2 linked regions of the Neodiprion lecontei genome follow. The main gene of each other region encodes a partner of the protein of the gene in region 2 in a complex. Links are inferred from orthologs where the notes say so. Each region holds a gene or a part of one and is shown on either strand. Other genes may lie near its edges. The genes, in order: FACT complex subunit Ssrp1 and FACT complex subunit spt16.

Evidence for each region.
Region 1: FACT complex subunit spt16 (region 2) and FACT complex subunit Ssrp1 share a complex: the UniProt entries of both Drosophila melanogaster proteins name them as parts of the FACT complex. The link is inferred for Neodiprion lecontei from reciprocal best matches to the Drosophila melanogaster genes dre4 and Ssrp.

Annotation. Positions count from the first base shown.
Region 1 is NC_060264.1:8,687,859-8,695,671, reverse strand, and holds the start of FACT complex subunit Ssrp1, read right to left. Parts: upstream 6,198-7,813; 5' UTR 5,929-6,197; coding exon 5,878-5,928; intron 5,559-5,877; coding exon 5,373-5,558; intron 5,207-5,372; coding exon 4,991-5,206; intron 4,865-4,990; coding exon 4,689-4,864; intron 4,616-4,688; coding exon 4,480-4,615; intron 4,307-4,479; coding exon 4,203-4,306; intron 3,802-4,202; coding exon 3,673-3,801; intron 3,568-3,672; coding exon 3,276-3,567; intron 3,096-3,275; coding exon 2,943-3,095; intron 2,785-2,942; coding exon 2,635-2,784; intron 2,547-2,634; coding exon 2,355-2,546; intron 2,242-2,354; coding exon 1,990-2,241; intron 1,909-1,989; coding exon 1,795-1,908; intron 1,549-1,794; coding exon 1,426-1,548; 3' UTR 1-1,425. Other genes in the region: huntingtin-interacting protein 1, read left to right, coding at 7,287-7,370. UniProt on the Drosophila melanogaster protein: Component of the FACT complex, a general chromatin factor that acts to reorganize nucleosomes. The FACT complex is involved in multiple processes that require DNA as a template such as mRNA elongation, DNA replication and DNA repair.
Region 2 is NC_060262.1:17,193,539-17,198,616, forward strand, and holds the start of FACT complex subunit spt16, read right to left. Parts: upstream 3,052-5,078; 5' UTR 2,700-3,051; coding exon 2,631-2,699; intron 2,549-2,630; coding exon 2,444-2,548; intron 1,779-2,443; coding exon 1,614-1,778; intron 1,186-1,613; coding exon 1,033-1,185; intron 948-1,032; coding exon 801-947; intron 699-800; coding exon 432-698; intron 351-431; coding exon 15-350; intron 1-14. UniProt on the Drosophila melanogaster protein: Component of the FACT complex, a general chromatin factor that acts to reorganize nucleosomes. The FACT complex is involved in multiple processes that require DNA as a template such as mRNA elongation, DNA replication and DNA repair.

The sequences.
Region 1 (7,813 bases), on a different chromosome or scaffold from region 2:
GGCACATCGTATTCAAGCCTATTCATGAATTCGTTTCCTACTCGATCTCACATGCACTCTTGTGATCTTACATTTTTCTGTTTAAGAAAAGATAAAGATATAGTAGTAAATACGTCTCAATGCGGTGACCCAAATTATACCGTATCATTTAGGAGCTTGTGGTTTGAAATGGTTTGTTGGCTTGTTTCGATGTCACGTATTAAACAAATAGGCATTTACGAAAACAGAAAAACGATTTCGAAATTTTTAAGTGGAGCCAACCAGAGATGAACAGCGGTAATACTTCTTTCCTTGAGATTTTTTGTCACGGTTTATTGACTGCACCCAGAGTGTAGAATCTTAAAATCAGCCCAATGCTGAGTTCCGCAAATGATGTTATCTCACGGCTGCCCCAGTGATTGTCACAAGCTTTCCTCCAATGGTCGCAATTAATTGAAATGATAAACTCGGTTGGCGGACGATTTTTTCATTCTAAACTTCCTGCCTGTATTCCATTACATCCACTAATAATAATAATTCAACTTTACCATAAAGGTTGCAGACACGATTGATTGATGTTTCATTACTATTCATATTAGGTTAATAGTAGGTAAAAAAAAGTTGGTACAGCAATGTTTAAATTACATAATTGTAGCATATAAGCACAAAATTTTTCTTAAGTAATCCTAGTTTATACATGTAATATGTGGTATACCGTATATTTCCTGACATACTATGGCATGAAAACAACTTTTTTTTGCTCGCAACGCCTGAATTAGCTGCCATTAAGTTCCGTTCATCTGAAAGCGTTTGCAATATTTCGATCGAACATTGTCAAATGCCTATAAAATGAAACAAAGGTTACGTATAACGCGTTATACAGTTAGGCACATAGGTTCGTAAATGGGTCATTGCAATTGCTGAAGGCCCGAAATCATGAAAAAGATTATGATAGCCAGCCTATATCATATCAGTGAGAACAATAAATTATTAAAATAGAGCAATTTAATTTAAAGCATTACGCAAAACACTCATAACAATACCGCACTAGAATTACTTTATGGTCTAGTGGTGTTGAAAGTCATTCAAACAGACCCAATTTCGTGTCTCTTCATCGACGTAAATGTGTATTAATAAAGAAAAATTTGGAATTCCCTTGAACCAAATAAATAATATTGTACCAGTCATAATAATGAAAAAGTACTTATTTATTTTCGACATTTTAACGCCCTAGTAACACAATGTAGTATAATGCTGTTGCAAAGGTAACATAACAGCTACGCAACTTTGGCTGCAGCTAATTACAATAATGTTTTACGGATGAGTATTCCCGTTTCAACACTTAAGTGACACGGACGATCTTCTGCAGGGTAGGATTACAAAACTTGTTATGGAACAGGTACACGGTCTAGAACATTAGTATACTTTACAGTTTGGAATCGATCACTACTCCGATTCTGCGTCACTTGTTGCAGGGGTACTTTCTTCGGGTTCATCGAACTCTTCATCGCTACCTTCAGCGTCTGATAAATCTTTCTTCCCTTTTTTCGTCTTTTTCCCATCGGTTTCCTGAAATTGAAAAGAATGATCAATGCAATAATATTCTCAATGTATTTCGATTTAGTTTTCAATTTGTAAGACACTTTTTTATCTAACATTTTCTTTATTTCCAATTTGTCGGACTTCAGTATTTATAAAAATTCGCACTTTTATAAACTGTTCAAAAATGTCCAAGTTTCAACTTTTCGACCAGTCTCAATACACAAATAAATTTTTGAGTAGCGTAAAATTATAAATAAAAAAAATTGTTCTTACAGCAGGTCTTTTATTTCCTCTCTTTTTCGTTTTCTTCGCCGAATCACTTTCATCCTCAGAGACTTTCTTTTTTTCATCTTCACTTTCATCGGATTTCTTTTTCTTTGATGAACCCTGAAAAAGCATCAGTTTGCTAAATATATGCACATTACCCGACAGCAATTCAATATTTAACAAAACAAATGATCAGTTTACCTTTTTATCTTCGGAATCATCACCGCTACCGCTACTGCTTTCCTCGTCACTGATATATTCTTTGCTCTTGAAAGCGCCACCTGTCATAAGTTTACTAGGAGAGACTTCTTTCTTACTTTCTTTCTTTTGCTTGTCTGATTTTTCTTTACCACTTTCTTTAACCTTCGTGCCCGCGGCACCGCCGCTGGCCTCATAATCTTTCATAGCTACTGCATAATCTTCCTTAGCCTTAGCTGCTTTTTGTTCCCATTCCTGTGTAAAAAAACCGACGATACGAAATGCGTCACATTTGGATAGTGGTGATTATTTCTCTTAACTGATTCTTGCAATAACCGAATATTATAAACTCATAAGTCGGTACTTACAGATTTATCTTTTAGTTCTCGCCACATTTCACCACCTTTCTTTGCGATTTCAGTCACAGCAATTCCAGGATTTTTCGCTTTGATCTCCTCTCGAGTATTATTCAACCATAACATGAAAGCAGTGGACGGTCGCTTGGGCTTATTCTCATCTTTCTCCTTCTTTGGTTTACGTGATTTTCGTGGCTTTTCAGACTGTTAATAAAATCATAAGACAAAGGCATAATTTTATCACCTGAAATGAAGCTTTAAGTTAACGAAACAAATCTATTTTATTACTCACAACAGTCTTAGCAGACTTGTGCTTCTTTTCTTTCTTCTCTTTCTTTTCTTTTTTCTCTTTTTTTCCACTTCCACCTGAAGCATCTGAATCTGCATCGCTGTCAGATGCACTCACGTTGCTATCATATTCCTCAGCAACGTCACTTTCATCCTAGTCAATTCAAAAATACCGAAGTTAAAAAAAAAATTACCAGTATATATGAAGGAATAAAGAAGTAGCTATGTACAGTAATGTGTTAGAGATGCGAGAATTATTGAAGGAGTGACTAATGAATAGAAAGTAAACTTTGATTGATTAAGACGAGTCACCTGGTTAGGATTGAAATCTTCATCGGTTGACTCCTCAGACTCTTGATTATCATCACTTCTCTCTTCTACCTCTGCTTTAATTCTTGCCAAATAAGCATCAGGCTCATCCTCTTGATCGCTGTTGCCAAAGTCGTCGTTGTACTTCGGTTTGTCCTGTAATCCAAGAAAAACGATCTTAGGTTAGTCATAACCGATTCAGAAATATCTCCAACGTAATTTATACAATTTTTTTGGTACAATCAATGTTCAATATTTCGTGTTCAGGAGTAGTAAATACTGATTTGCAGACATAATGTTACGGGAATATTTTATTGTCAGCCATAAATTACTCACAGTTTTGCCCCTGTTCTTCACTCGCAGTTTCTTAGATGTGATAAAGTCAAAGAGTTTGGCATATTCCTCTTTTTCAATGTTGCTAAAGGTGTGAGTAACGCCACTCGTTAATTCGATTTCAAAATCAAATGATCTCGTTGATCCACCGCCACGTGCGAAATTGACCGAAGCAATTTCTTCGAAACGTATGTGAATTGGTGGTTTATGAACGTATATGAAACCTCTTTCCAATGGATACAAGTAACCAGCTGCAGCTTTGAACGAACAACCAACTGCAGGAGTTCCTGAGTGCCTAATTGCAGAAAGAAACGCGATACGTAAATTATACAACTGGAACACTAAAACTATTTTCACTAATCACCCAATAAGTTCGAAGTGTTTGCAAACAGTTTCTCACCCAACAAAGCCACCAGGTCCAGTAAGTTTTCTGACACTTATAGCTTTCATTACTTTGCCAAGAACCTCATAAGTTGGACCAGATAACTCTTTAGTTAATTTGTCGTGATATTTTTGCTCCAACTCTTTCCTGTAAGAAACAATAAAAGTTACTTGATCTATAATAGAGATTTTATTCATTAGTGAATTATTTGAAATATTTATATGTATATTATGAGACTATTTATATAGAAAACAAATGATCCAATTAAAATGCTTATGACGTAATTATTACTGCAGCTTGCATTCTGACAGATTCAATCTAAGAAAATAATAAGTCTTTGGTTTCTGTACAGCAGACTAACGAGTTCGAACGTTATGGTAACAAATCATTGAAAAAAACGAATTTCACTCGAAAAATACCAGTAAACTATGTTTCATTGCGGTCTACAGCATTTCATACAATTCTAAAGTTGTGAAACACCGATTTTCGCGACATATTTATTGTTACATTAACGTTAAGAACTTCAACTTCATCCATACTATACGTACTCTGTGAATGGCAATTCAATAGACGTTTCATCTTCTTGACTGAACAACAGTACCAAATAATGATAACGTGTCTGCCCCTGTTTGATGGGCGGATCTAAACTGACCTGTAAGAAAAAATTCATATACATGTTAAAATTTAATCCAATCTAATGCTTCAGAGTTAGAAAATTAACTTTTTTTTAGGCGACTAAATTAGTTTCATTATCTTCACAAGTAAGAAAATAGTATTTTGCAAATTATATAATCGTGGCAAACAAATCAACTTATTAAAACTTACAACAAAAAACATTTGCCTACTGTCTTTATGAGGCAGTAAGAACAATCTGAGCACAGTAGACATAGGGATCTTGTAGTCGAATGTTTTACCGTGAAGTTGAAAGAAAGACTGGAATATCTTGATGTCGTAACGACCACTGCAAACAAGTAGTAAATTTAATTGGAAAGCTGTTACAAATGGTCGAATCCTTGGATGGTTGGAGAGCTTACCGAGGCGTAAGGCAATGAATTTCTCTGAAGATAGCGATCGCATCTCCACTGACACTGATGACCGACGCTTTGCTCATCACTTGCTGATGGAATCCTTCGACAGGATCTTGTTCGGCACTGTCACTTATAGGAATATGGAACCTCATTTCCATTAGACTTACCGGCGCATCATCGTTCTAGGAAACGTAAGAAAGTACACATTTCTTATCAAAAAACAAGATTGTCAAGGACATCATTAATATAACTCAGTATTATAAAATACACAAATAAATGAATTTCAAGTATATAATCTTAGGCTGTACCTGATGAAACTCTAGAGTAACTTCGTTTTTTCCTGTATTACATTGTGAAACGTAATACAAAGGAATCTCAAATGCAGTGTGATGTCCAACATCAAAGCTTAACACTGAACCATTGAATTTTGCAGTTCCCCAGTTCCAACCCTTCAAACTGAGTTCCTTTTCCAACATATCCTTTTGATAGTTTGAAGTAAAAAATTTGGCTATTTTTTCTTGGTCCTGAATATAAAAATTCACACATTAATCTAGGACATATTCAATCACTGTTAAGAAGATCGCATTAACTCGTTTCAAAATTTTATGACTTTAGTTTTAAGTAAAATTAATGTTGAAAGAGCTTCTTTACAAATTTTTGGGTCATTAACAATTAAACAAGCAATCTCACCCCATCTTTGAAGCCTCGAAATCTATGTAACGTTCCATTTTTTAGGAATATTCGAAGGCCCCAGGTTCCAACAAATTTCTGGTAATTGACCATTTCCATATCAGAACCAGAAATTTGCTCAACCTTTCCTGTTTTCTGATTTTTGAATATCAAATGTTGGTCAGTCAACTTCAACTTTCCTGGAGTCTGTGAACGAACAAGACAATGAAATCATTACCTGCATGTGTGTATTATAATCATTGATAAAGAGAAATTTTCCTGGCAGATAAACTATAAACTAAAAAAAGGTTAAATTAGATAAAAATATGATCCGAGTACTACTTAATTTGGACGTAGATTATAAATTGATAAAAAACGCAGGTTTTTCGTAAATTCTCAAGTTATTTCCAAAAACTAATCAGTTCTAGATTCACAGAGGTGTTTTAACATCTTTGCTAATTGCCTGGGTATAATCAAGACAATTATTCGTAGAGTGTTTACATAAAATTCTTTTAAGGTTACGTACCATGACGCCTTTTACCTCGGCGGTAATATCAGAATACTCGAGGAAATCCATCCCTACACGTTTTAATTTACGTATCTAAATTCTGGTAAAATACACACGTTATAAGGTCAAATACAAACTCTCATCAGGGTTGAAACACTAATTAACATAATTTTACAGCGCACAATTCACTAGTATTAACAAAGGCACAACGCAATTGACGGCAACAACGGCACGCCGTTCTTCAAACGTCGAGACTTTCTAAATCCAAACTCAGCTACTGCCGCTTCTGCCACTGGTTGCTGTCGTTTCCTGCAAGAAATACACGGAAACTACACAGGAATCCTGTAACTACAGAACACGGAGACTACACAAGAAGCACGACTCAAATGGGTGAATTGACAATCCTTGTCACAGTAGTCGTTCACATTAGGTTTATTTTTCGTACCACTAGCGTCGCTAGTGTTCCATATGTATTGTACCTAGGACCACGGTCTTACATACAGGTCTGGCAACTCCGGTGGTGGGGTTTTTTTGTACTCTTATTGAAGCACCGATCGCTTCGCCTAGTGACCACGAGTGTCGCTGCGATAGAGGGATGCAGGCTGTGTGAGAGAGACGGAAACATGTTTAATTGCAGCAACACTCGTGATCACTAGGCGAAACGATCGGTGCTTCAATAAGAGGACACCCTCACCACTGAAATTTTGACCGAGTTGTCAGACCTGTATGTAAGACCGTGCCTAGGACTATATCTGTCCTTTGGTTTGGGCTTCAGCGGCCTCGTTATACCGCGCAGTCAGTCGTCTATCTCTTTTATAAGTCTATGGTCAATACCACAGACATCGGCCCATATGATTGTGGGCTTTCTTACTCTTGGGACATGGATGATCCGGATGATCCCCACCACCCACCGGCCCCCCTTGCGACAACTCTTTTACGATGAGTTGAGCCCCCACCTTCGCGTGAACGGATCTGTTTTTGGAAGGAAGTGTGGATGGGTGGAACGTCCGTTTATACTGTTTTCTATATTGCGTATGCGGTTCTTAGCTGTCATTTTCAATTCGAGAAGTGTTCATTGATAAAAGAAAAGGAGAAAGTAAACAACATCGAGTACATTAAGACTCGCTGGTTAAAATTTTTGCTTCGTACATAGATTGTAACCCGAAGGTAGATTAATAGCTTAGGTTAAAATGGTTATACTTCGTTATTAGGCATTTCCGCATATATTGTATGCACATACGCAACACGTTCGTCGTCTGTGCATATGACCGTATACGTAAAAGTTGGTAAAAGAGTACATTAGTCATAATAAAGAGAACAGGATGTCTCATCGTTCGAACCAAGTATTATGTAGTGTCACTGAAGAATAACCTATTTGTATAGGTAGTAGCTATTTAAACACAACAGGCTCTTTCTTTCACTTGGACATGGCTTCACTGTCATTGCCGCGAGTTCTACAGCAAAGAAAAACTAGCCTCGAATTGGAACGTGAGAACTTTGAAAAATTCCAGGTAAGTGCACTATAATAGTATACCATCTTCTGTTTTTTAATATATGGTTTATACTATCATATCTAAAAATTTTCCTCAACTTATTTGTCTTCTTGTTATGAAATTCTGGAAATTCGATTAATCATGAATCAACATTGCAGTGAAATATTTTTGTGGTTTTTTTCAGTGGTTTCTTCACTCTAAAACTTCCTTATATTAATCATAGGTTAGTGAAATAAGTTAACACGTTCTAAAAACAAAATAACTGATTCAACAGATATAATAACTTGAAACGTGTTGATTCGTTTTTGTTGAAGAAAATTTTTTCTCGACAGTGTAAATATGTGTGACTGTAATAAGCTGCATGATATTGTTGTGTTCTTTTTTTCATGTGTACATAGAGCCTTGGAACTCCTGCATGATATGTAAGAGCGCAGATTGTCACATATTTACGTCATACATTC
Region 2 (5,078 bases):
TATGAGGACCCCACCTCGTTAACCACGACTGTATCTCCTAAAAACAGGGCGTAAATTTTTCCTTCTTTTTCAGTTGCATCAGGGTTTGCAAGGTTGGAAAGACCGATATTAATATTAAAAACCATTCCCTTCTTAGCCAATGAATTCGTTTTAGGAGCCAGTAGCAAAGAGCTCTCCCTAAATTCAATGCCCATAGCAAATCCAAAGTTTTTTGTCAGATGGTCCAATAACTCAGGTCTCTCTGACTTGACGTATTGATGGCCAGTCTCATATACCTCGCTGATTTTTGCACCAGCTATCAATTTTTTCAATATTTCCTCTTCCAATTGAAGAAGAAAGTTATAATTGTCCTGAGAAAAAATGACGGCTTCGATAACAAATAGTAGTACAACATATTTGATACAGAAAATTCGCTGAAGTTTACTCTATACCTCGATACTTTTCGTTGGGTTCACCAGAAGTGTTCGAACTATGTTGGAACAGTAAGACTTGTAGCGAACTCCTAAGGAACAGACGATAACACCAAAGTGAAGTGTATTTTTATCGCTGACAACACTGAACTTTAAAGAGTAGTTGCCTCCGCTTTGAATAATTGCAGGGTAACACATATCAACTTGCGTCAAATCGACTCCAGTAACATATTTTTTGTTTGTTATAGCTGCATCTACTCCTTCAGCCAGTTTGGAATGTTTGACTTTCTGTAAAACACAAGCTTATGAATAAACATAATAATGTTTCATCACGTCGAAGGATTTGTCATTTAGATTCAGGTGTACTTTCGAAAAAAAAAACTCCAGTACCTTATCAGAATCAATTATTTCCATAATTTGGTCTTTCAGGTATTTTGTAAAAACGTCTACCGATACTAGACAAGCTTTTTTTATAGCTAATATTTCCATGTCTTCTTTTGGGCACATTACATAGGCTGCTGCGGCACTGATGTCAACCTAAAAATAGAAAAAAAGTTGACAAATAAAATTACAGAAAAAATTCAAGCATTTAGGTTAAATGAATACAATTAAATTAGCATACTGTTTCAAAGGATTTTGCTTTCAAAGCAGCCCTCCACGAATCCATAAATGGACCCGGGTAATGTTCCTTTGAAAAAACTCCCAGAGTTTTGCCCTTTTTGCTGTTCTTTATTACCTCGATTAGCTTGGCAAAATTAGCTTTATCCTCGTCCGTCTATATAACAAATAATGTAATTTCAGATTAAGAAATTTATTTCAATTTTAAAATGCATTTGAAATAAAATGATCAATAATAACGCACTAAAATATACCAACCAGACCTCAAGGCTTACTGCTAACAATTAAAAATGCGATAAAACATGAAAAATGAAGTCTCTTTACATGCTTTCTACTTTGCACTACTGCTATGTCTTTTGATCTTCATAGTGTAATATTGTTCGATATCTTATTTAAGTGTAACCAGGATATTCTCGAGTAACATTATTTATCAATAGTGAGTTTCATTGTGAGATAGAATTTATTTTGCTTATGGTATTAGATTATGACCATATCTTAAATAAATAATGCTTAGTCTAGATGGTCAGAATCTAACGAGCTAAGTATACTTCAATTCCAAATAAATGCTACAGTTAAATTACTCACCCTATCACGAACAAACAATTTTACTGGAGGGACTCCAGTGTCTTCAGTTTTCTGATTTTCTACACTACGTAAAAATTCAATCTTCTTCTTGCTGGCAAGAAAATTGATCGAGTCTTCAGCTAATATCATAATAGTATCGGTGAGCTCGTAACTAAGTAGCCAAGTCTGAAAAAGTTCCATGCATCTTTAAATATTTTATAGATATGCGGCATGAAGAACTATTGAAAAGATTGATGTTTCAAGATGTGAAAGATCGAAGACATCAAAATTCTACAAGATTGTAGTTTGCATTGTTGATGCAACAAAACATTGAAGAATAAAGAACCATGTTTTGGAACTTTAGAATTACTTCGAAGGAGTTGAGTTTGCAAAATAGAGATTTTTCTCAACATAGTTTTACATTGACATTATAAACTTTGACTTGATAAAATTCTTTTTATCAGTATACGTAGCCGGATGACAAGATTATGAAAATTGCAGTCAATAACAGACCAGCAAACCAGAGACACCTTTCGTGAAATGATACAAATATCATAAGATCGTTAAATAATGGTTACGATTAATGACGAATTCAAACTATCAATAACGTTAAAAATAGGTCTGGCCAAAATTGAACCTTAAATTGACTATACTGTGCTTCCAAATGCCATGAACTCTAGGTTTCGCCAAATTTATTAATTAAGCAAGAATAATACAATGTTTACAACTTGGATTCAATCGTTTGTTTACATTAATTTTTTGTACACTCTGTAAAACAATTTATGATAGTTATACATCTAGAAATATAGAATGGATAATTGATAAATTTAGTTATATGATCAGTATCATACCTGGAGGGCTGTAGACTTGCTGTATACAATATCTTCGTCAATTCCGACCGCCGACACGAGACTATCCATCTTCGCAAAACTATCATCCGTGCCGGATTCACCATCCTGTATAAGAAGTAGACATGTTTATAAAGGCCAATGTATTAAGTAAAAGTTTTCAAAACGAGACTAACATCGTTATACTCACTTTCCACGCTGCGTATAAGCGTTTTATTCGCCGGAAAAATGTGTCTTTATCAAGAGATACGTTTGCCATGGTACAAAGTTTTTAGGTTGATCTTTGTACACAATAAATTATTATGTGAAGGATGACGTACTCCTTCTGAATTAAGGCGAGAATGATAAGACTTGTTGAAACATTCACGGTACACCGTTCAACTTCAACTCATCACGCATACTTGTGTTACCAAGATTCCAAAATTCCGACGGCACGCTCAAACTCCGACTTCCGATGCGGACATGGCGGGATTACAACCAAAGCCTGAGAGTTTGTATATGAAAGAAGGGGCAGCTTGTATCCCTTCCGAATTTCCGGAAATGTGGTTATGGTGGCTTTTACAGGCGTTTTTCACAGCCCTGTAATATCCGACCGGAACAACCACGGGTATGTTCCGATATACACTGCGAGCACTGTTCAGTGGTCTTACTGGGGAGAAATTCGGTCCATTATTGGGAAATCATCCACTCAGATACGCTACCTGACGGATCAAATATAAACTACTCTATGCAGGTCAAGCTTAAACTGCTGATATCAAATATAATATGTGAGAAATGTAGTTTAAAAGTGTTAAACTTTTTTTTAAATATTAAGTAATCAATTATTATCTATAAGCTTAGTTATTACTTAAAAACATCTTAAATTTCAATATTTGATCAAAAAATTTAATCATGGAGTTTCCACCACGAGAAAATAAAAATAAAACTTTCTGCTGCGTGTATGGGTGTAATAGCAAGTCTAGTAAGAACAATACAGTTCGATTTTACACTTTTCCTTCGGCAAATTCTAGTTTTGTAGTAATCAAAAATAAATTTGGTGAAGATGAAGTAATTGATCGTCGATTAGCTTGGATAAAAGCATTGAAAATTGGGAATGAGGTTACACAGTCAAAAAAAGTGTTTTCATTACATTTCGCCAAAAATGATTTCATACCAACATGTAAGTAATTACCTATAGAATTTCATTTCATAATTACTTGTTTATCATCAATATGAAATGATATTTTTTGTAGTGTAATATTTGTCAGAAAAAATAAAAAACAATAAACATTAAATTTTATTTTCCATTGCAGCCAATGTTGCGATATTGCACCCACAACTTCATGCGGTGGATCTTTTAAACGAGAAGTTTGGAGACAGAATGCAATTATTTTATACTCATTATCACAACTAGTATCTGATTGCTGTAGGCCACATTTCATTAGATGTCCCGCATCAAGTATATCTTTACCACCAATAAAATTTTTATGACTAGGCTGAGTATTTGCAAACTCACAAATTTCTTGTATTGAAATTTTCATATTTTATTGAATTTTTTTTGAAAATTCGAGTTTAATAACTGTAAATAAATACACGCTTTCACATAAGAACACGAAAGCTGATTTAAAAATGCGTTTTAGAATAGTTACTGCTTCTGCCGCAAGGAGAAGCCACGCCCCCGGCAGATTTCCCAATAGGCTGACAGTATACAGTTGCAGTATCCTAGGGAAATAAATGACGTCATAAATCGTCGTCATTTTTCTACTCTGAACACTGGTGTTTTCGAGGTAAGGTGCTATCAGTGCTTTGCTCACGTGATCAACAGCGTTCAGAAATTTAACAGCTTCCACTATTGATAATTATTATTATTGAATATTGTCATTTAAAAATACCGGTCGTTAAAAACAAATATGGAAAATTTGAATAAATTGTGTTTATTGCAGTGTGAAACAAATATGATGTATGAAATGAAAGTAACGCCAAAAAATGTCGATCACAGTATACTGTACTGCGTTCCGTTTAAACAGTAACCAGTATAGCTAACTATAAAGGACCGGCTTCGCAGTATACTAAATTGACGTCACACCTTACAGTGCTCGCAGTGTATGTCGGAACATACCCCACATGTATATGTAGCTCAGTTCGTTTTAGTTACACTTTTCTACACTTTTTTTACACTTACCCTGAATTTAGCCAATGGAAGGTGCCCTTTCCTAAGGAAAGTGTAAAAAGTGTAGAAATTGTAACTAAAACGAACAGAGCTATCAGGTTTGTTCGTGCTAGCTACACTCTACACTCGCGAGTGTAAACAGAACTACGGTAGTGTACTAGGGATTGCTGGGGAGGTACGTCGGCTTCTCGAGTGTAGCTAACACCCGTATTCATAGTCCCTCCTTATCTCAAGGATAAAGGACGCCTTGATGAAGGCTTCATTAAATCTCAGCGGCGTCCTCGTTTCATAGTCACAACTTGGCTCTCCTTTCCAGAAGGAAGACATATTTAGGGATATGTGATTGCTTATGGTGGTAAAACTGCTGATCGAAGCGCCACTCGGCTATATTTAAATATAACTTAATCCGCTTGGCTCTCATTGTCAAGTTGCGTCGGTTGATTTCACGTTTCATAGACCTTCCTCGACAGAGTAGCCGTATTGGCCTCC